4 linked regions of the Arabidopsis thaliana genome follow. The protein of the gene in region 3 interacts with the protein of the main gene of each other region in a pairwise test. Each region holds a gene or a part of one and is shown on either strand. Other genes may lie near its edges.

Region 1 (5,692 bases), on a different chromosome or scaffold from region 3:
TGCGGCTGAAGTGACTAAAGAATCGAAAGTGGTGAAAGAGACCGAGTTACCTGTGGAGAAAAATGCTGTTGCTACTGCCTGCTGAACCAACCTTTGGTTTTAAGTGGGAACTGGGTGGGCTGTTTTAGGCTATTTAGAGCGTTTCTCTAGTTTTGTTTCCATTCCTGAATTTGCAGACTTTTTTTTTTTTTTTTTTGGAACCGAGTTGAGAGGGTAGTGGCTTAGTAGATGAAGTTTTGGCATGAGCATTCATCATCTTGCAGTTATTCTCTATCCCTTTAGTAATGGTCCAACATATGAGGATATGGGTAAAAGATTGGTATTGAATCAGCTTATTCAGTTTTATATAACTTTTCAGGCAAGACAAGTAAGAGAAACATTTGGCATCTGCTTCATACTCGAATGCAGGAATCAAACGGTCCAAAAAAAGTTCCTTCTCATATTTTGACAGAAGATTGTAGGTTTTTGGACATAAGGGTACTATAGTTTAGACAATTTTCCGAAGATGAGAATAGATGGAGAATAGCAAGGCTACCATCAAATCTTCTAAGCATAATTCTCTAGTTATCTTCTTGACTGGGGAGAGACGTCATTACTGACATTCATAATCAGCCCAGTCTTCTTTCCACTGCTAGCTCACTTCCTTCACTTGTTCCATCAACAACACTTTGCTGTTGCATATGCCAAAATCCAGCAGAGAATACAGAGGTGAGTAGTAGTAAGAAGTCACCAAAGATATCTCCTAGTCAAATAGCCCAAGTCCATACCTCAGTTAAATCAGATGAGTCCATAGAGTTAACCAAAAAACCATCGTCATTATAAATGTTAAATCCGACTTAAACATTGAATTTGTATTAAGCATGTCAAAGATGACATAGTGACAAGATAGCCAATTACTATTACATCCCCACAATGGAGTATAAAAATTCTACAACTTTATTTGCATGTAAGCAATCACAAAACATTGCATAAGTGAGTAAATAACAAAAGATCAAAAGAACAAAGATGGAGTCCATTAGGCTCAAGTCATCATCATCATCATCTCTTACGAGAGCTGCGCAGTGATCTTGGAGATGGCAAACATTCAAAGAGATCAAGGAGCATATTCTCAATGTCTTCACAAGTGTATCGGATGTGTTTTTCGCCTATGCGAACTGCATTTCTTCCAAGAAATCCTCTGTAAGACTGAACAACCTTGACAGAGGTCGAGATGTGAAGATCATCGCGGAGCTCTGAATCAGGGACTGACCAACGGGTTTGGTTCTTGTAAACATCATCAAATGCAAGGCTGAAAAGTCTGCATCTTTCTCTCAGGGTTCTTACAGAGTCGTTGTTGTCTCTGAGCAAAGCGAGTATGGAGCTCCATGTGGATCTCTCGTAGTTAGTGACATTGCATTGGTAGCTTGCAATGTGCTTCCTGATCCATTCGTCTCCAAACAAGCGTCTCAGCTCTGATCCCTTTACCTTCTGGACCATGTAACGGAAGTTGTTCATCAGGAAAATGGATTTCAGTGCTTCGTCTGCGTACAGCTGAGCTTTTCGCTCAAGGCTGGATTCTAGAGTTGTGACGATTGACCTGAGGTGTCTAGCCATTGGAGAGAATGTCGAAGGGAGGACATCTTCTCCTGTTTTCTCGGGGATGGAGTCGTCAACGTGTATGTTCTGAAGCAGTGAGTTTAGTGAGTCGGTATACTCCGGGAGAAGCTTCAAGTAGTTCATTACATACCTGGTCAGGTGATGAATCCCGCCTCCATGAAAGGGGCGTGTGGATTCATCTGAGGCTATTGCGTCTTTGAACTTTAAGAAGGTTGTGGTTGTATGATCAGCTAGTTTTTTTGACAGGTTGTGAAATGCAATTCTTAAAGACGAGCCTGTTTCATCGGGGAAGAGGTTATCGACATCCACGAGAATCTCTGCTGAAACCTCATACATACTAAGGAAGCGCTCAAGCATTTCTGGCTTGCAAGATCTCAGCACCACAGCTTCTCCAAAGTTGAGGAGTGATAGAATTGCATCTTTTGAGATTTCAATGAAGCAAGCTGTAGAAATTGACTCAAAGTCTCCCAAAATCTGATCACATAGCTGTTTTTCACTGGCGAGATAGACCTGAGTAATGATCTTAACAACCTTTGTCCATTTTCTCATTGCACCATTCAAATCCTCCCAGTCCATTCTGAGAACATCAACGCAGCTGAATCTTTCCATTTCGAGAGTAACCATATACTCCTCCAGAGCTTCTCTTTGAACGCCGATGAAAGCTTCACAGAATGGTTGATCATACTCGCAAGCAAACATGGCGTTTGCAATAGCTTTGATGTGAGGAAGTACGATGGGATCAACCAAATCAGAATTATAAAAGTCCGATATCTGTTCATCATCTTCATGTGAAGAAGCTTCGACAATAACTTCATCATCTAGGGAGACAAAGGACTCGTCGTACACAATATCTTTTCTACGGGAACTAACAGCCAAGTAATCAGGCTGTACATGCCGTTTGTGCTGATGCAGAACATCACAGAGCTCTTTCTCAAGCCTCAACATCGCGATGTCAAGAGCAACCGTAGCTTGGTTGTAAACATCTTTCTCCATCTGGTTAGTTTTCATGGGCAAAGCTTTGAAACCCACAAGAACTGTTTGAACGTCATACAGGGCTTGAAAGAACTGATCAGCTTCAGACAGACCAGCTTCAAACATCGTCGACTGGTTTGTCTCCCAACTGCGGATTCTCTTCACAGCTTCTTTGAATCTCTTCTTGATCTCAGAGAATCCTGCATCTTCAACTTTGGTATCAGCAATCCCAAATGTTGACAAATGCATCTCTAGGTCACTTAGGAGCTTTCTCAAATTGGCATCCAGGTTGTTATCAGATGCCCTCAGTGCCTTAACAACATGGTGACATGCCTCAAAGACATGATTGTTCATTCCGGAAACAGGAACCTTGGAATCAAACTCTGCCATAACCAAAACCAAAGACTAGAGCCTAAACTCAACTTAAATTTGACTAGACAACTAAATACACACGGCAGAAGAGAGAAAAGTCTAAAGTGTTTCCAGGTGAAAGCACAAATGTAAACGAAGGGATGTTATATAAAGTGATTACTAGGTAAGCTTAACTCCAAGAACTATACTTTGAAAAAATCTCAAGTCATCTCGGAATGAAGTAAACAGAGAGGAAGAGAAATCCCCACATGAACATAGTAAAAACCATTACTACTTAAGCTTAATCCAGTTGACATACTTATGGTAAAAAATCAGTGAAGCATTCTTCAAATCTAACATTTTTCCTCATACTATAAGCTCCCACACAACACCCCAAACTATAAGCTCCCACTTATGGTACCATACTATAAGCTCCCACACAACACCCCAAAGAAAAAGTCAAGTCAACGGCTTTCCCAAAAAAACTTCTTGTTTCTGTAAAAAAGGAGAAATTTTGATGTTTATTAGAAAGTGATATGTTATTTGATTTCACAGAAACATTTTATCATACACTCGGTGATCGAACAGAGTAAACGTACCGTGAAACGGGAAGAAGAAGAAGAAAAAAAAAAAAACCAGGAAAGAAGAGATTATGATTTTGATAACTGTGTGATCAAAGTCTCAAAGAACAGATTTTTAGAAGCAAGAGCAAGAGAGTTTCAGCGAGATTATTGGGGAAGAAGAAGGGAAAGAAGAAAAGTTGTGGTGCACGTAAACTGTATTTATAAAAACAAAGTTGAAAAATGGAATTAGTATTCCAACGAAGGCGATCCCGTAATTTCGTAGATTACGAAAGGTTTAGAAAATGATAAATTTTTGGGCCGCCCCGAATCTAATTGAGATTGATTCGTCCATTGACTTCCCCATATGGCGGGACGAAAACCATGGGGATGGTAAGTCTAATTAACTTAAATTTGGGGGTCAAAATGTAATTAATAAACTTCGAAATGAATTTAATTTGTTTCAATTACTTTTACGAATTTGAACATTTTATGTTCTATCTCTTGTCTTGATTTTTGATAATGTTGTCGTCAGAGATAATCGAATTTCATTAAACACATTTTATGGTGGATTTTTTTAGAGCTATTGGATACAATAGGGATAAAAGTATTATGTTTTTGGAAAATAAGGGGTACAATAATAAATTAGTGTAATAAACGTTGATGTTGATTAGTCAATACTTGAAGTTTGACTGGCTCGCAATGTATTGATCTGAACCGTCCGATTATATTTGTACGGCTCACACTAGTAGTTGACAGCTCATATCAAGTAAGGACCTCAGCAAGTTTTTTTTTCCCAAGTCAAGAAGTATAAATTTTCTCTTTATATAAATTAAAATTTTAAATGTTTGCCTCACGCAATGCGTAGAATTATTTTTTTCAATTGTCAAAAACATTCAGAGAAAAAAAAAAGTCAAAAACATTAAAGATTGTTGATATTGTTTAATCTGGAATTGGTGTTTGATTTTGATCCTGGGGATTTTGTATTTAATCTTTTTCTGAAATAATAATATCGTATGTGTTCTTTAAGAAACAAAAAAATTGTATTTGTTGGAAATAAATTTTAGATATTTATGAATCATAACGTGTGATACGGTGGATTCAAGACCCACACATAAAAACAAAACCATAAACTATGGGCCTGAAGTGAAAGGCTTTTGTAACACAGTTTCTTTCGCATACAAAGTCCATTATCAAACAAAACAAAATGCGCCAAAAAAATGGAAAGATACTGAAAAGAAGCGGTAAGAGTTTTTTGCCAAAAAAATAGAAATTGAAATCGGCGGGGGAACAATTAATCGAATTTAATAGCTCCCGCTTAAAGCTCTCTCCTTTACAAAAACCCTCGTACCTCTCTCTCATTCTTCTCACTATCTCACGGCTTTTAGTTTTCACCATTCTGATTAAAGAGAAACCAAACGTTTCATTTTTCAATATCTAGAGAGAAAGATGCAGACTTCGGTGACCCCAGATGCCATCTCCACCGTTTTGTCAAACCCATCCTTTGATTCGTCTTCCGATCGATCTGAGATCGTTGTTCAAGTTGTGGATCTTAAACCTATCGGCAATCGCTATACGTAAGTTTCCTTGGCTTTTCATGATCTGGGTTTTACTTGATTTCTTAAATCTCGCTTGTTCCAGCTTTAGGTCAGTGTTATATTCTCTCAATCACAATTGTATAGCTAGATTATGATATGCAACGACTTTGATGACTCTATGATAGAAGAGATCTGGGTTTGTTGATAATAGTTTGTATATTGCCTAGTTTTGGGTTTTAGTTACCGATTTTGTTCTGATGGATCTGTTTTGATTTTGGTTGACAGATTTAGTGCAAATGACGGAAAGACGAAAGTCAAAGCAATGTTTACTGCTTCACTCACACCTGAAATCATTTCTGGGAAGATCCAGAACTTGGGTCTAATTCGTCTCATTGATTTCACTGTTAACGACATTTCAAGCAAATCTACAAAGTAAGACTTCTCTTTTGCTTCTTCTTTACATGGATAATCACTCTGGTTCGATTCTTGAAATCAACAGTTACTAACATGTGTGTTTCTCTATTGTCTCTGTGTCAGATATTTCCTTGTGACTAAATGTGAGGCTGTTGGTTCTGTGCTTGATTCTGAGATTAACTTGGACAGTAAGAGCGGAGAGGAGGAGGCTCGTGAGCCCAAGAAGCAGAAACTAGAGCATTCTCCTGTCAGTCCTCTGAA
Region 2 (4,978 bases), on a different chromosome or scaffold from region 3:
TCTAAAGAAACAGATGAAAAATAGAAAGATAGCTCGAATCAAAAATAGACACCTACAGTTCCAAGAGTTAGAAGACTCTTGTTGATGTATGAACCCTCCTTCCTCCTCAATCCAGTTGTTTCAGTTTTCGAACTCTCAGATCCAGCTAAGTCAATCAAATTCTAAACAAGAAAATATACAGTTAGGTCCCATTTTCAAAACTAATTGATCTTATACAATAACAAAAAGAAAGAGGCCCTTACGAGTTGAGAAAAGATAACTCCATCATATTCATCTCCAGTAGCACTACTTTCAACCATCTGCAAACACATACAAATTAGACTTCAAAACATGTACATTGTAAGGACACCTTGTAAGAGCAAAACATCATGCCGAGACACTGAAAAGAGGCTACAAATTACAATATGACAAGCTCTTGGAGCTTGGAGCATGAAGACGTACCAGTGTAAATATAGTGTGACTTCTGCTGCTCAACAAATTGAAATTATTTGAACCAACATGACGATGTTCTGCAATTAAAAACAACAGCAATGTTAAGTAGAGGCGGGAAGGACAGAGTTGACAAAATCAAAACATGTTTCAGGGGTTAAATTATCTAATAACCTTCCCCAGCTGCAATGAATGATAGTGCATGGCCAGGAGACAAAACAACTTCTTCCTTGATACCCTCAACATAAGTGCCCTAGAAAAACAAAACGCAAAACGAATCAATATCTTTTCTCAAATGATATCAAATTCACATGTGATTCTAAGCTAATTTGTTCACATTTATTCTAGTAGAGCACAATGTGTGTGCGTGTGTGAGAGAGAAATGGGAGAAAGCCAAGCATTCTATAGAGGTTGAAGCAAACCTGGGAATCCTCTCTAACACGTAAGTTTTGGCCTGTTGGATCCAGTAAATCATTTATCACCTGATACAAAGACGGTTATCAGATAAACTGCGGATATCTGAAACATAGAAGCACACATGTAAAACCAAGAAGATCATGAACAGTCACCCAATTCTCTATATTTTTAAGCATTCTAGTTCTCAAAGATAAGGCAGAAGAACTAGAAAACATATCCCAATCTAAAAATATCTACTTTTCAGGGATTACCAAGTAAATATATCAAGGATAAAAAGTTCCACTTACCTCATTGTATATTTCAAGATATGAAACACGGAGCAGGAACTCCCTTCCTGGAGTCTGAAATATAAAAATGTAGCCAGTTAGCGAGCATGAAATCATATAAAAAAGTCGTGATGAGATGAGAAAAGACATGAACCCCGTTAAGACCACTTACATCCTGGATGATACTGAACACGTCTTTTATTGCTAGCGGTATGATCCCAGGAGATTCTTGATCACCCTATGCATATTGCAAAAGCAACCAATGGCAGAACAAAAAGAACATCAGATTTAGGTTCTACTTGTTTGGACGGGAACTAAAGACCCAACGTAGCTACTTCACTAAAGATAAGCACAGCCAATCTAAATGAAGACCTTCAAATTCCATTCATACGAGGATTTCCAACTCACATAACCATCACCAATTAATGATGGCAAGTTGGTATTTGTATGGTATCTTTTGCTACCATGTAAATGTTTAGAGTAACCCAGAATAACCAGCAGATACCAAAGGGGGACCAAGTTGAAGAAGAGATCCCAATTCATAGCACATGTGTTTTGAAGAAAAACTAGAGAGAAAGGCGTATAAGGATTCTTCTTTTTTAAAACCCTTACATGCATTGTATGTGTCTTTCCACTGCTAGTAACACCGTAAGCAAAAACGGTTCCTGTCAAAATTCCAACCCTGAGTCAGAAAATATGTTGCAAGCAATACTACTTGCGGACCAATTGGTTTAGAGGATATTTCTATATAAAAGATACAGATTTTGGTAAAGCTGAATTTTGCAGCAATGTTACTTACCGTTAACACCTTCCATTGCTGCCTTGACTACTGGTCTCGCAGCTACATCATAAACGTCAATAGTAGTTGCCTGTGGTCCAAAAACTTTATCTGGCATCAAAACAAATTTGGAAAACATTCACTCAATGATTACAAGAAAACATTCAGAATAATTGAGAGGTGAACCAAATACCAAATGCGTAAGCTGTGAGTGGGTTATACTCGTGCCTAACCAATGTATCACCATCAGGGTACCAAGCAACTTCATCTCCTCTTTGATACTCTCTATCACTGCAAACCCACAAAGATAAAAACTTGAATTTGCAAACCCCAATAAAGAATTGACTCCAATTGCATCTACATGAAAACTGTAATCTCTGCAATAGATCTGGTCCATGGCGAGATCAGATCTAGCATACCTCAACGGACGAAAACGAACGGTGACGGAGATACTATCCCGCTCAGAGCTAATAGTATCGTCCATAGGGTCACCGAGAAGCTCCTCTGACGGGTAGGGAACAGGCGATCCAATTCCAAAGCTGCCGGAGCCGATAAGGCCCGAGTCGGAGAAGGTGCGACTAGGCGTCATAGATCGGGAGGCGATTCCGGCGGCGGAGGTAATCAATGAGGAAGCAGAGGTAGAGTTAGAACGAGGAATGAGACGGTTGCTGAGATGAGAAGAAGAAGTGGAAGAAGCGGGACTTGGAGGTCTACTGCTTCTAGTTCTCGATGAGGATGAAGCCATCCACTAACCTCGAAACTCGAGGGTCAAACTCGGTCGCAGGAATCGGTGAGAAGAATCAAACCAAAACAAAACTTCCGAAGATGCAGAGAATGTGTCAGTGGGAGCTCACATGGCTGGAGACATAAGAAGAATAAAGCATTGTTGTGACCCTCTCTTCTTCTTCTCGTCTTCTTCTTTGGCTAGGAGATGGTAGACAGAGATGGTGAGACCATTGAAGAGAGAAAGAGAGAGAGATTGTTTCGTCTTCTTTAAGCGAAGATCGAATTCCTCAGATTTCTCTCTCCTCTGGGTGAAGAAACGAGGAGGCTGAGAAATTTCAGATTTTGAATTTTGTTTCTTTTTTTTGTGCCTTTCCAAATATACTCTATTTTTAATTTTTAAATTAATTGTGGTAGTTGAAAAATTATTTAGGAAGGAGAACGACAAAACAAAAATAAATTATTTTCTTGGGTGAGAATAAAAAAAAACATTTAAAGTAGTTTTTACTGTATGCTGCTGACGTGGTTATTATTGAAGACCAGACCACCGTGTTACTGTAACGTGTATGACCAAAATGGTTTACCGGTTTGAATTTTTTTCAAGAGACGAGCGGGAATAACTATGGCTGACCAAATACTGTAATTACCGTTTTTACCCTTATAGTTCTTCTTCGTATAATTAGTTAATTACTGTACTAAGATATTGACTTATTTCAAACACACTTACACACACATTAATTTTCTTTTTATGATGGAATAATATGTAGCATCAACAAAACACTACTCGATTTCAAAAATAATAACTGGTTAACAAATATGTTTGATGCTTTAATTACAAGCTTTAGGAATCTATCTAAGTTTTGATTGAGAATCTTTTGATATAAAATGCCATAAAAAAAATGCAATGCTAATCCATCAATGTGTATTGTGTATGGAGTTACAACTTAAATCCAAAATAATGAATATGGAGTTACCAGCACGTACATATATATCTGCTAAGCTTTATTCGTCCGCCGTCATATAAAATGTCCCAGTTGGACATACAATACTTTGGTTCATATATATATATATATCATAAAGTATAGAATGCCAATAGATATTTCTTCCATTACTATGAATGGTGTAACAATAATATAAAGCAAATTAAGGATGGAATATGTTTTAAATATAAATACACATTGTAGACATATAGAACAAACGTTAGACTACATTTTAAATATACAGAATAAACATATATAACAAACGTTTTTTTTTTGTTCTGTAGAGATATTTTTGTCTGGGTGAAATTACACATTTCATTATGCGACTGATATAAATTTATAATATTCGTTATTTTTTTATTTTTTTTGTCAGCATATACGTTAGTTAACAATAGTATCCTTTAACTTGGAAAATACAAATCCTGAAATTATTAACATTGGATGCGAACACAATCATACACGGAGATTGATCTGACTTGAGTTCCGGCTCTACCTTTACCGCGAGACATTGCATTGTAAATTACGTAACAGCAATTTTTAAGAAATTCTTGAAAATACAAAATAAATCAAAAATATTACTGGAGTTTGACTCAAACTTTTTGAGTGACGCGCATCAGAGAGGAGCGGAGACACGCGCGAGAATAATTGGCCGGTGAGGAACCGGAGGATATAGATTTAAGCCACCCATGTGATCGCTGCTCCTTTCTCCTGATACCGCTTTACACGTAGACGCTAAACGCTCTTAATTGGGTTAATACTGTAATTTTGATTATTGACGACAACGAGATAGCAAGGGTACTTCGGTAATTTGCTAAGTGTATATTAATTATCCATGGAATATTAATTATTATTTTGATTTAACGCCAAATTGAATTTTCATGTTTTTGTTTCGTTTTGATTTGACATCTAAGGCTAATTGATATACCAAACAACAAACTTCATTAAAATAAACTGAGTAAGATACATAACGTTTAACTATATGATCCAAAAGACCAAAACCAAATTGTTTCGTTTCATCTTCAAGTAACTAATGGGGTAGTTCATTTAAATCGAGTATTTCATTTTAGCTCGACGTAGTGCTTAAGCAGTATCATGTGGAATCTTGCGTGTCCTAAATAATAATAATAATTCTTACTATTATTAACAATTATAATAACAGCAACGACAATAATTTGGAAATCGTCGTCTTAGACTCTCGGCTCGGGAACATGTAAAAATTTGGATAATGCAACAAAAAGTATTCGTCAGAAATATGTACACATCACACACTCAAATTTTTGTAAATTTATGCAACAAAAAGATTATTGAATGAAATAAATACCGTTATGCGATAAATATATAGTGCCTGCTTCTCGAAGCTAAGTAGTTGTCATAGGACCTTTTTG
Region 3 (4,494 bases):
CCACTTGCATGCAACGAGTACGAGAATGACATTGTCTCTAGTCAATCTGAGGCGACTCTCTATCCTCCTAATAGACAATTCATGAGAGGTACAAATACAATCAAATCAAAGTGAGTTTGAATAAACAAAACAAGAATCTGAAACCAAGTTTCAATTCTGTCTGTTGATACAACAACTATCTAGTATCTACACAGACAAACTAAATCTCTATTTCAACATCAAATGTGAGTTTTTATATTCGAACAAATTCAATACAAAACAAAATATAAGATAATAATAGTTCATTAGTTCTAAAAAAAGAAATATAAGATAAACTACAGAAACAAATCCAACTGTAATGTCATAGTTCATAAAAATAATAATATTTGATGAACTATTTTATCCATTTAGATAAATTACAAATTGCATCATCCCAAATTTTTTTATATCTTAACAATCAAATCTATACGGCCATAATTTAAGATATAAAGACAATTCACTCATGTTAATTGCAAAACAAATATCTTGTTTGTAACTAAAAAAAAAAGACAATTTCTGTTTTGCTATATTTGATTAACATACACTACACTTTTTTTTTCTTTGGTTCAAAAGGCACTCTTAAAAGTCTCTAACACCAAATATTATTAAAAAAAAATCTGTAACACCAAATATTATTGTTATTTTTTTTACAATATGATTACTTAGTCGGAAGAATGATGATCTTGACTATAGGACCTCCTATGATGATGGGAAGGCAAGTGTTTATGACGTTTGCGAGATCGGTCTTCTTCAGAACGTTTTGATCTTTTGCTGCCAGAAACTTCACCCTTGTTGTCACCATATCGATCTTCCATACCTCGTGCTCTCTCTTTTCTATCAGAACGGGACTCTTCCCTGGAACACTCCTCTCTGTCTTTGCTGCGTCTTCTATGAGAACTGTGTGTGTGTGCGCTCGACCTGTGACTGTGATATGACCTAAGGCTGCTTCGCTCTTTAAACTCTTCTTCCCGTTCTACAGAACTCTTTTCCCGATAATATTCTTCCTCTCTATCCGACACACTTCCTTTTCTCCTTGGAGGTGATGGGATCTGCATCCAACAAGTAAGTTGTGGTACCAAGATTTTAGTTTACAAACTATCAGCTTTCCACTAGACACATTGAACAACCCATTTAATATATTATTTCTAGCAGAAGAACATTAACAAATGACCCAATAAGATAGCACCAGAGACAGAACAGGGGTAAAGTTCAAATGACTATAGAGTGGTGGTGAAGTTCAAGACATGGTAGACCTGTGTGCGCGACATATATCTTCCCTCAGGCGGAAGCTGAATACCGAGCTTTTTCAAATCTTCATGAGGGATTGGTCGTCTGATATTAACAAATAGAAAGAATGCCCATTTCATGACCACTATGTTTAGCTGGTGTTATCTCTGGACATGCTAAAGGAAGAGTAAAGCAAAACCATACAAGGGAGCACGGAATGGTCTATCTCGTCCTCCAAAGCGAAGTTGTCCGGATTCTTTCCTACCACCAAGGCCACCTCCTGTTAAGAGAGAAATAGATTTCATCTGTAAGGGATGAAAATATAACGCCTATGACATTTCATTACAGACAAAAATAAAGGTAAAGAATGGCAAACCTAGTCTTCTTGGTATCCATCCAGGCATCAATTGCTGTCTATTATAATCAACAATAATCTCTCGCCCATCTATTAGTGAATGATGAGCATCCTGCTAAAGAAACACCAAAAAAATTCTCACTCTGATAAACAAACTCCACTAGTTTCCAGTAATTACACGGAGATGTTAATGAAACAATCACATTGCGGTGCCTTAGTAAGTGGTTCAGACAGCTTTCAACAACAAAAACAAGAGGTAAAAAGAAAATGCAATTTAGTATCACAGCACCTCATAAGCACGAAGCATCTCCTTTTCAGTCTCATACTCCACAAAACCATATCCTCGTGAAGCTCCCGTCACTAAAAAAAGGTAACAAGAAGAGGAGACTCAATACTACACAATGTGGAACTTAGAGGAAATATGTAATCACAGTTCTGCTTAGACAAATATCTTGGTAGAAAGTAACAAACCATCAGAAATAGAAAGATGATAAATTTCCTAAAGATAAAGCAAAGTGTTGATGTCATAAGTAGAGCAATTGCAAAATCTTACCAATGTGTCTTACCAAGCGCAAGTTCTTAATCCTGCCATACTTACTCATCACCTACGAAGAAGAAACTTTTATAATCATATTCAAAACATAGTCTACACGAAAATCAAAAACTAAGTGAAATTTCAATCATTAACCTCTCGAAGTGTATCCTCCGTAGTGTGATGAGAGAGACGACCCACGAAGAGAGTACAGTAAGGATCTCCAACAGCCTTCGAATCACCAGAAGGATCATCTTTCAAAACAACCCAAATCAATGTATTTGAATTCAGAAACCAAACGATAAAAGTGAAAAGAGGAGCAGAGAGAACGAGAGAGTATACATACATAAGCCAGCGTTATAACAGAGAAGAGCTCGACGGACGCCGTTATCATGTGGAGCAACATCAGTTCCGTCGATACTTCCGGCTTGAATCGGATGATACGACGTCGCGTAGAACACTTTGTTCACGACGTTGTTTCCTCCGCCGCTCATTTCTTCTCCCCCGACTCTCTCTCTCTCACGGCGGCTCCGGCTGTTTAAGGAAATAAAGAATAACGTCGTCGTTTGAATTGATTACTATTAAAAAGCCCAACATATAAATTGGGCTTATTACAGCCCAGTTAAAGATATATGATATTCTCGTAGGTCCCACACGAAGGCGGAAACTCCAACGGTGGCTGCTTTGGGTTAGGTGAATCACTCACTGAAGAGTGAAAAGCTCTAGCACAAACCAAACACCAAATCTCATTTCTTCTTCTTCTTCTTTTTCCACATTTTCTGATTAGCAGATCAAATGATGCTTGTTCGATCTGTATTTCGATCTCAGTTGCGACCCTCTGTCTCGGGTGGTCTGCAATCTGCTTCTTGCTATTCTTCATTATCTGCTGCTTCAGCTGAAGCTGAGAGGACTATCAGAGAAGGTCCCAGAAACGATTGGAGTAGAGATGAAATCAAGTCTGTTTATGATTCTCCTCTTCTTGACCTCCTCTTCCATGGAGTAATTTACCCTTCTTCTTCTCTCTCTCTCTCTCTCTCTCTCTCTCTCACTTACTCTTCTCTTTGTTGTTCTAGCTACTCTAAATCACAAATTTGAAGTAGAAAGCTTTGGGTTTCTGTTAAATTATTGGTGGAAAGTATCGATTTTTAGTTTAACCCAGAACATGTTTGTTCTCTTTGAAACATTTGTCTTAATTTCCCGGATTTTAGTGTCTTTGTAATGTCTATTGAGCTAGGTATTATTCATTTGGTTGCTCATCTGATCTCGTTATCAGTTGTCTTTTACTTGAATAACGATGGTGTGTGGACTCTTTGGGTTTCAGGCTCAGGTTCATAGACATGTTCATAACTTCAGGGAGGTACAACAATGTACCCTCCTCTCCATAAAGACTGGTGGCTGTAGTGAAGACTGTTCATATTGTCCTCAGTCTTCGAGATATAGCACTGGAGTTAAGGCACAAAGACTCATGTCTAAGGACGCTGTCATTGATGCTGCTAAGAAGGTTTGCACTTTTCTTGTGAATGTTTATTTTTGCTGAATGTAGAATCCTTAGCAGAATGTATCAAGAAGAAGGGGACATGCATTACTATGTACCAAAACGTTGTTTTTATCAATCCGAGCTCTATCTCTATCCAAAAGACTCTAATTGTTTAATGAAGCATTTTGACGATGTAATGAGCTCTTCTGATTTGAATTAACAAATTTGATGTGTTGTTAGGCAAAAGAAGCTGGGAGCACACGTTTTTGCATGGGTGCTGCTTGGCGAGATACAATTGGACGGAAAACCAACTTCAGCCAGATTCTTGAATACATCAAAGAAATAAGGTACCTTACTATTATGCTTTTTAAGTTGAACTTTGAATTTCCTTGTTTATACTACATTATATGATCCCTTTTTCAGCTGCTTCTGAATCTAAGCTAACTTAAAAGATAACCCACCGAACCGATCATTAATGGTTCTAGAATGAACATTTTTGCATGTCAAACTAAAGTGAAAATTTCAAAGTGTACTTGATGTATCCGTGAGCAGAATGAATATGATGTTGATGATGGTGTCTGGCTGAATGTGTTTACTAACTTTCTGGGCTCTCACTTTAAAACAGAGGCATGGGGATGGAAGTTTGCTGCACCTTAGGCATGATTGAGAAACAACAAGCACTAGAGCTAAAGAAGGCTGGCCTCACTGCTTATAACCACAATCTTGATACTTCAAGAGAGTACTACCCAAACGTCATCACTACTAGAAGTTATGACGATCGCCTTGAAACTCTTAGCCATGTTCGTGATGCTGGAATCAACGTTTGTTCAGGTAACTTTGATATGAAAATAGTATTCTTGTATGCCTCAATTCTATAGAACTAAA
Region 4 (7,989 bases), on a different chromosome or scaffold from region 3:
CATGGCTCCGCTGCTTCCACATTGTTAAAACGTTACTCATTTTTTTCTTGCTGGCGAGTAGGCTAGTCTTTGATGCAAGTTTTATCTCTTTCACTCTCTCTTTCTCTCTCTTCTCTGATGCAATTGCTGCTGCAGCAGCCGCCTGAACCGCATCTGGTAAGGACAGAACTTTTTCTACATTAGGGGTAGTAGCCGCCGAGATAATAACCTTTTGTTGACTGGATTTCTCCTTCTTGGCAGAGTCTGGTTGGTTTTCTGTTACTTTACTCTCATTGTTCTGATCAGGACAAGGAACATATTGTTGTGTTTGCTGGTCATACGAGTACCAAAGCCCACTATTGCTGTCATAATAGAGACCTGTATATTTAGAAACATACGATTAATAGAGAATATTACCCACTTCTTATACCAGTGAAACCAAGTTTCCCATCACCACACACCAAGAAGAGGTGCCTAGTGATAACCAAGATCATTAAAACAGTCTATCATTGTGCCATATCAGATGCGAAATTTTAAGGCACATACACATATATAAGAAGGCATAACTCAGCAATAACTAAAAGAAAAAACTTCCATTGGAAGTCCAACAGCAGCCATAATAGTAATCATATAACACTTGCTGAATCCCTACAGCCATTATTTAAAAGTCTAATTAAGACATACACTTGTATGATTGATTGATTGTATCTCGATGTTTGCTAGTTTGGTGCATACATAGTATAAGAATTCCACAATCATAAAAAAGAACAGGATAGTTTGAACAAACCAGAGCTGACGACTTATTTTTGCCAAGAAGTTATCCTATAATAGAATACATCTATAGCAGGACTATACAACCAGCCAACAGGATCAATCTTACTTTTGCCCATTACATGTTTTGCAATGCCAGATATGGGAATTAGAGCTGCAGCTACCCAACCATACAATCAATTCAAAGAAATAAATAACAATATAAGTAAATGCCGACCTGAATTTCCATCGTAGTAGTATCCAGAAGCCGCATCATAGTAATAACCAGATGCTTCATCCCACACATAGCCAGACTGTGGAGCAGAAGTCCCTTTCTGGGATTCAATTTCCCCAACACCCTGGGCCTGCCCTCCAGTGTTTTGTTTCTCACCAGTATTGTATTCCTTTGGAGCCCATCCAACACCGTCATACTAATAAGGACCAACATGAGTGTCAGGGCACATGGAGTAGAAGAATCATAAGAATGACAATCCTCATCTAAAGATACTGGAAAATTTAATTAAATGATCAATGTGTGATCACCAATACAAACGAGGGAAACTGGATCAAAACAATCTTCAAGTACCTGTTGAGAAAACGTTGCTGCTTCAATTGCAGCAGCAGCGAGGTTGTTGGAGTGCGAGGGTGCTGATATACCAGTTCCAGAACCATGAACACTCTTTGCATACGCAACTCTAAGAATTTTACCATTCCTTTCAAGAGCTGTTCTGTTTGTTGCTTCAAGTGCCTTAGTAGCATCCTCAACCTACACGAACATAATCATAATCTTCTGTTTCAAGTTGGTAGGTGGATTAAAAAAAAGTCAAATACACACATAAACTGGGGGAAAATAGATATTTGGACATATCAAGCAGTTCTACTACAAAATCTGATCACCGTTCAGATATGAAATTGGTAAGAGAATCAGTGACGAAATAAATAATCTACTACAAGAGCTTTTACAAGTCAATGCAAAAGGTGGTTGTCGAATGTAGATTATAAAAAAGTACGACAAAATAAATGATTGAGTGCGCTCACCACCAAACATTGCCAAAAATACCCACAAAACTAGTAGATCATGATTACTAAAGAGACACTTAAACATTTATAAAAAAAAAAAACTATAAAACATAATCACTCTTCACAAGCAGAATAAAAACCAGGTGGTACTGATCATCTAGACTGGGTTTCTAATTTCTACACAATCGAATAAATCTTTGATCAAAAGGCACACTTGCAATTTAAATCATCAGTAAGGGAAAAGCGAAGCAGAAGAGAGAGTTTAAGGAGTAAGTTCAACAACCAACTTGGCTTTGAGACCCTACCGAATAGAAATGCACGAATGCAAATCCTCGTGAAACATGAGTGAATTTGTCTCTCACAAGACGAAGATCCTACAAAATGGCGGAAAGAGGAAAACCAGGTCAACTGACATATAAAGTACAATATCTTAATAGACAACGAATCCAAAAGGGTTTTTGTTAACCTTGATAGGAGCATGTTTGGAAAATTCATACCGAAGCATTTCCTCATCAGCATCTTCATCCAACCCACGTACAACCAGGACATGAGTTGGACCTGGAAAAGAAAATAAGCAGAATGTATCTTAGGTATATATGGCATGTAGAAAAGTACAAAGACTATGGCCTTAACAGTTGCGACTGTTTCTGACTCAAGAAAGAAATTTAAAACATCTTAAATAAAAATGCTGATCAGAACCTGTCTCAGAAATTCGTTTTCCTGCTGCAGAGTTTGATAAACCTACATCCGCTGAAGGAGAATCCTTGGTCTTTGGTTCATTACACTGCATAAGGAGACAGAGATCACAGACATTTATGCAATGGCCACAAATTTGTTATTCCATATTATAACTGAACTTAGGACTTTTGAGTGTTCTATCATAAATCAAGACACAGACAGCGGCATGGCAAAGAAGGGCTACAGATACAATTGTCCACCACAAGATTAAACTATTGATAAAGACTTCACAGAGTTTAAGTAAATAGAAGGAAAGATAAATTAAAAACCCATCAAAAAAGATCAGTTAAAGGGTTTTAGTTGACTTCTTTTTTTATTGACATTTGAAAAATGGAAATTTCTCTATTTCCAAACAAACTATTGTATATGCAAACAAATACATTCTAGCATAGGTATGGACATCAATGTGTCGACATTAAATTAAAATGTTCATTTACCATTACTACCAAAATATGTATGCCACCCTAGTCTCAAACAAAGTGTCAATTGATGATACATATTCGTCACCAAAAGGAACTGCAAATAATCTCTAAGGAGCAAAAAACAGATATATTCTGAAAGTTTTATCGGTTCTATTTTTTTTAAGGTATTGTCGTCACCAAATCATGAGTAGTTATCACTTTGTTTGAGACTCTAGAATCACCAAACAATGAGTAGTTCTTCCGGTAATTAAATATATGTAATTTCTGTTCTTAACAGATGGGTTTATACTCTAGTCCTGACAATGAAATTTACAGAACTTTCATCCAAAACAATGCACCAACCTGAAAGCAAGAGGTTCGCCGCGCAAAATTGATACAGCCACAGATTGTACAGATCCAATCTGTGGGAACTATCATGTTTCGACTTCCACCATAACTGCGTCTAGAAGCATGTTCCTGCCTACGGGACACACCAGCCCTACCAGTAGGTTGGCTGCTACAACACACGCAATTTAGTGTAAGAATGTTATACTCTGATACTGAAACGGTCAAGAAACAATAATTTAAATGTGTAGTAATTCTATGATCCCTCCATAGGTAATATCTAAATCAATCAAAGTCTTATGTTTATTTAAAAAAAGACCTGTAATGGAACATAAGTTTCCTTCCATCCAAAACTATACCATCATGCTCAATTCTATCCATCATGGTGCGTGCGGCATCCTGCTCAGACAAAATACATAAATGCACACAGTGTTGAAGAAATCACAAGAAAAAGCGCAAGGAATTAACAGATTAGTTGAAAGCAAATACCACCGTGGGGAAATCAATAAAAGCAAATCCACGAGAAATCCCAGAATTTTGCTCCCGAATAACACGAACATGATGCAAAGGACCCCATTCAGCCTAGCATGCACATGGGAATAATGAAGTCATGCATGAAAAATTGTTTAAACCTGAGGACATACAGATTCAAAAAAATGAAGAGTTTACCAGAATCTGGTATAGATCTTCTTCTGTTGATTTCATAGAGAGACCCTTCACAACAACAGTGGCGGATGGGGTCTAGCAAAAACCATAAAAATATAGGAACGGATTTTTTAAATGTCTTCGCAACAAAAGAATATAGACCAGGGATGAGAGAATATTTTATACAGCAGAAAAATGATCCTGGTTATGTCTATCTTCATATTCTCTTCGCCTCTCACTTTCATTCCAGTGATCCCCCTCATAGCTGTCCTCCCGGTAACTCCGCCCATGGCTCCGACCTCTAGGAGATCTTGATCTAGAGAACTCCCCACGTCCGGTAGATCGAGATCGTGACTTCTCATATCTCTTATGAGGACTCTCATCTCTTTCGCGGCTGTAACATCTTTTGTCCCACTCCCTATCACGTGAATCCCATTCTCTATCTCGAGAATTCCGTTCTCTGTCCTGCGGATCACGGCTCTTTCGACTGCCATCTCTCACACTGGCCCTTTCATACTCAGAATCATAACTTCGGCGAGTATAATCATAATCTTTTTCACGACCATCATCTCTGCTATGATGGTAATTTTTCGATCTATAGTTGTTATCATTACAAGAATAGTCATCGCAGCCATCATATCTGGACGACCTTTCGTGTTCATGATCACGGTAATGTCCATTACGACTCCCAGCTTCACTATCATGATAATAGTCAGCAGCATAATTTGAATCGATGTAAGGCTTTTCTTGCCTGCGAAGTTCACTGGGATAATTTTCTTCATAGTTTCGCTTTCTAGATTGAGGCAAGTCACCCAGAGTATTATGTCCAGGTGGATAGTTGTAGACATCATCCCGCATCAACCTTTCATCAGGATATCCGTCATCATATGATACGCCAAACCTGTAAGAGCAATGTAGTATAGGTACAGAAAAGATATTAAAAAAATGAAATATGAACTATCATGAATATTTCGGCACAAGTAACCAAACCAAATAAAGTACAAGAAATACAATTTAGTTACAGTAGCTAAAATAAATATACCCCCATGAGCAATAACAAATTAACAACTACATCAATGTAATCCATTTTACTAGCACTCACCGATGATTTGGATCATGCTGAGTACCATAACCCTCCGGAGCCTGTGAATTGAAGAGAATAAGCTATGTCAGCAACAAACATCATTGACGGATATTACATTAGCCAAATCCCATCCACATCCTCACTCTCCCAAGTCTCTCACTCCACGGATGAGTTGAGATTCATAACATCCCTAAAAATATCTTGTTTATCATCCCATATATGTAAGGAGAAAACCACAATTACACTGTTATTATCCCATTCTTGCTGACGACCATATCGACTAGGATCCATTTCCGGCCAGTGCACCAAGCAAATCTTTGATGGTCTGAGAGAATATTCAAAGCTTAATATTTAAAGCTCTTTCCTGAAAATCACGTATAGAGTCTGAGACAGGTATATCTTAATGCATATATAATTAAGAATTCCCAACACTGATCACAAAGAGACTTTGTAGGAACTAGCTAGAGATTCTCTCACTCTCAGAGTAGAAAAACATGCATTGGCGATGAAGTAACAAAAGCACGAGAAGAATGCATACAACAGTAGAGATCATTATATTTTCAGCTGACGATTAGGCCTAAATTCTCAGTAATCGAGTCTTAAAAGCTATACAAAGTAACATACAAAAAACTTGAACTGGTCACATCCACGAAATCCTCAATAAAAAAGAAACAGGTAAAAATGAGAATACCTGTGATGAACTGAAAGCAGCACAACGACGCCGGACCAAAGACACCAGTGAATGGAAGATGAAGATGAGCTGTGATAACAGCGGAACAAAGACTTGGAATAAGAGATTGATTAATAGATAGAGCGCAAAATCAGGGAGCCGATAACCAGAGGTCAGAGAAACAAGCCTGAAACCGGTGACAAATCAGATACGCTGCGATCGATACAGAAACGAGAGAGCTCGAGCGATGAAGTAGCCGTATAAATCGGAATGGTTTCTACCGTGGGAACTCAAATTGAAAATATTCAACAGCGATCGATGAATTACAAGAGAAATGAATTCAGAGCTCCACGGTGGTGGACTTGGCCGAATCCAACTTTAACCAGATTAGGGTTTCGTTGTTGTTCAAGCGAAATATGAAAAGGCGTAGATGAGTTTTTTTTTTTTTAATTGAAAAATCCAAACATCTCAATTTCTTTGCCATAACAAAAATAAAAAACAACATGTATATATTTTTTTTTTGGAAAAAAGTAAACCAAAACAATTCAAGTTGCTAAAAAAAAAATACATAACAATTCCCAAAAAAAAAAATGGTAGCCTTCAAAAGAATTGTGTATTTGTAAATGATTTTTCAGTTAAACGTGTTATCATTTTTATTATTGATGTACCATTTTCAAGTGTTTTCTTCAATATCAAGTGTTCTAATCTTCATGATTAACTTCTATGTATTCCACCAATCAGGTAGCCAATACAGAGTGTGAGTGAGAACAATTTGACTTCAAAAAATCCTCTCTTTTTGATACATAACAAAAAAAAAACAGGTAAATCTATTTATGGGCACATTGTTTGTGAAAAAGGAGAAGAAAACTAAGAACGAGGCGTCCAAGCTGAAGCAGTGAGTAACGAAAGATCTTTCCATCCAAGCTTAAGTGTACCATTATCATCAACCAAAGTGTAACCATCCGAAGGAAACATTCCCAACAGTAGAGTCGCTTGTGTAGCTGCATTTCCAGCTAAAGATATACCTTTAAACCCACATTGTTGCATTTTCTCCCTCCAGCTCTCAAACTTCACTTCACCGCTTCTCGATGGTCCTCCAACCGCTAATACATTCCGTATCTCTTTCGATAATAGCTGCTGTTCCACGACATGTCTCTCTTCACTCTCTTCGCCGTAGCTTGCTCCCAGTGAGTCAAAGAGTGCAGAGTAGTAATGTATTGCTTCTACAAATCTTCCTAAGAAAGAACCAGCGTGGCTCAAATCTTGTTCCACTACTGTCACAACTTTAGGAGCTAATCTGTTCATTCCCCAATCATTAACCAAAAAAGCCACTTTTTAGAACATATCTTTCCTATATAATCTTAAAATAATTTATAGATAAAGAGTGATTAAAAGGTAATGTTTATTTTACCTTTGGAGTAACCAGAGAGTGTGTGCATCAGAGCCAGTGACATCATAAAGAGAATGTTGAAGCCAGTGAACAGCCACAGCTTCCCTTTTCCTCACATTGAGTCTCTCAGTGTCCAAGTTTCCAACTTTCTCAGCTAAAGGGCAGAACTCAAAAGGCAGGCCAAGCTTATCTGCGAAATCCGAAAGACGTTTCCCTGTAGCCTGAAGAGCTTCCATGGAAGTACCAAGTCCCGTGAGTCGCACGTGTGGAGGTCCTCCAGGTCTAGAAGCAAGAATGTGGAATAAACCAGGCCATTGAAGTCCCTGCATGATGTCCAAGTCAATGATGTGTACACTGTCTTCTTTCTCAAATGCTTCTTGAATCGCCTGATTCGCTGTAAAGTGTGAGAATTTCACTAAAGGGCTTATCCCATTAAAGACCTGAAACGCAGAGACCATTTTCAAGCTATGCGTTTGAGGCATCCACCGTGAAGGCAAAGCCGCGTAAATTCCGAGACACGAGTTGAGTAATCTCGCTGACATAGCTTCCGAGAAGTAAGCAGCTACTCTCTGCGCTGAGGTCCCGTAAGGAGTTGATAACTGAGAGATCTCAAGAAGAAGCTTGTTTGCTTCTTCGAGATTATCAGCAGAGACAGCTTCAGCACACTGTAGCAGCAATGTGAGAAGGTGTAATCCTTCTTCGTCTTGCTTCTGCCTCTTAATCTCTTCCTTCCTCTCTCTTAAAGCCTCCGCCGTATTTGTTTGGACGGCGGGAACAGTGGCCGTCACTGTCTCTGGTTGCGGTGGTGCATCGGTAGAAGAATTTTCTCTTTCTTGCTGCTGAATCGGAGGAGGAGGAGGCTTATGCTGTTGTTGTTGTTGTTGGTGCTGCTGTTGCTGTTGTGGAGGAGAAGGATTGTTGGAGATCTGATAGAGAGGTTCGAAAGTTTGAGGAGAAGGGTCAGAGG

What was found.
Region 1: the proteins of AT2G43370 (region 3) and EXO70E2 interact in a two-hybrid assay, tested with the Arabidopsis thaliana proteins (one large-scale study listed by BioGRID).
Region 2: the proteins of AT2G43370 (region 3) and AT4G39050 interact in a two-hybrid assay, tested with the Arabidopsis thaliana proteins (one large-scale study listed by BioGRID).
Region 4: the proteins of AT2G43370 (region 3) and SUA interact in a two-hybrid assay, tested with the Arabidopsis thaliana proteins (one large-scale study listed by BioGRID).

What each region holds. Positions count from the first base shown.
Region 1 is NC_003076.8:24,551,878-24,557,569, reverse strand, and holds EXO70E2 (exocyst subunit exo70 family protein E2), read right to left. Parts: upstream 3,827-5,692; 5' UTR 2,959-3,826; coding exon 1,039-2,958; 3' UTR 527-1,038; downstream 1-526. Other genes in the region: ECT3 (evolutionarily conserved C-terminal region 3), read left to right, coding at 1-85; RPA70D (Replication factor-A protein 1-like protein), read left to right, coding at 4,929-5,056, 5,303-5,449, 5,555-5,692. UniProt on the Arabidopsis thaliana protein: Influences the subcellular localization patterns of other exocyst complex proteins (e.g. SEC5A, SEC15A, SEC15B and EXO84B) leading to their recruitment to exocyst, well-defined large punctate structures throughout the cytosol.
Region 2 is NC_003075.7:18,191,119-18,196,096, reverse strand, and holds the start of AT4G39050 (Kinesin motor family protein), read right to left. Parts: upstream 3,023-4,978; 5' UTR 2,636-3,022; coding exon 2,310-2,635; intron 2,182-2,309; coding exon 2,084-2,181; intron 2,002-2,083; coding exon 1,912-2,001; intron 1,778-1,911; coding exon 1,725-1,777; intron 1,351-1,724; coding exon 1,285-1,350; intron 1,188-1,284; coding exon 1,134-1,187; intron 912-1,133; coding exon 852-911; intron 683-851; coding exon 604-682; intron 510-603; coding exon 442-509; intron 300-441; coding exon 243-299; intron 162-242; coding exon 57-161; intron 1-56.
Region 3 is NC_003071.7:18,011,563-18,016,056, reverse strand, and holds AT2G43370 (RNA-binding (RRM/RBD/RNP motifs) family protein), read right to left. Parts: upstream 2,790-4,494; 5' UTR 2,627-2,789; coding exon 2,479-2,626; intron 2,387-2,478; coding exon 2,289-2,386; intron 2,206-2,288; coding exon 2,154-2,205; intron 1,961-2,153; coding exon 1,890-1,960; intron 1,713-1,889; coding exon 1,622-1,712; intron 1,526-1,621; coding exon 1,450-1,525; intron 1,351-1,449; coding exon 1,272-1,350; intron 1,068-1,271; coding exon 681-1,067; 3' UTR 527-680; downstream 1-526. Other genes in the region: BIO2 (Radical SAM superfamily protein), read left to right, coding at 2,928-3,131, 3,454-3,633, 3,850-3,956, 4,235-4,440.
Region 4 is NC_003074.8:20,071,136-20,079,124, reverse strand, and holds the start of SUA (suppressor of abi3-5), read right to left. Parts: upstream 6,024-7,989; 5' UTR 5,820-6,023; exon of another isoform or gene 5,723-5,819; 5' UTR 5,654-5,722; intron 5,327-5,653; 5' UTR 5,254-5,326; coding exon 5,206-5,253; exon of another isoform or gene 5,022-5,205; coding exon 4,981-5,021; intron 4,780-4,980; coding exon 4,065-4,779; exon of another isoform or gene 3,975-4,064; coding exon 3,903-3,974; intron 3,816-3,902; coding exon 3,723-3,815; intron 3,633-3,722; coding exon 3,553-3,632; intron 3,406-3,552; coding exon 3,252-3,405; intron 2,534-3,251; coding exon 2,449-2,533; intron 2,308-2,448; coding exon 2,216-2,307; intron 2,124-2,215; coding exon 2,055-2,123; intron 1,496-2,054; coding exon 1,316-1,495; intron 1,161-1,315; coding exon 968-1,160; intron 358-967; coding exon 1-357. Other genes in the region: SCR (GRAS family transcription factor), read right to left, coding at 6,500-6,929, 7,044-7,989. UniProt on the Arabidopsis thaliana protein: Splicing factor that controls alternative splicing of the developmental regulator ABI3. Reduces splicing of a cryptic intron in ABI3, leading to a decreased in ABI3-beta transcript. Regulates the splicing of the receptor-like kinase SNC4/LRKL-2.6.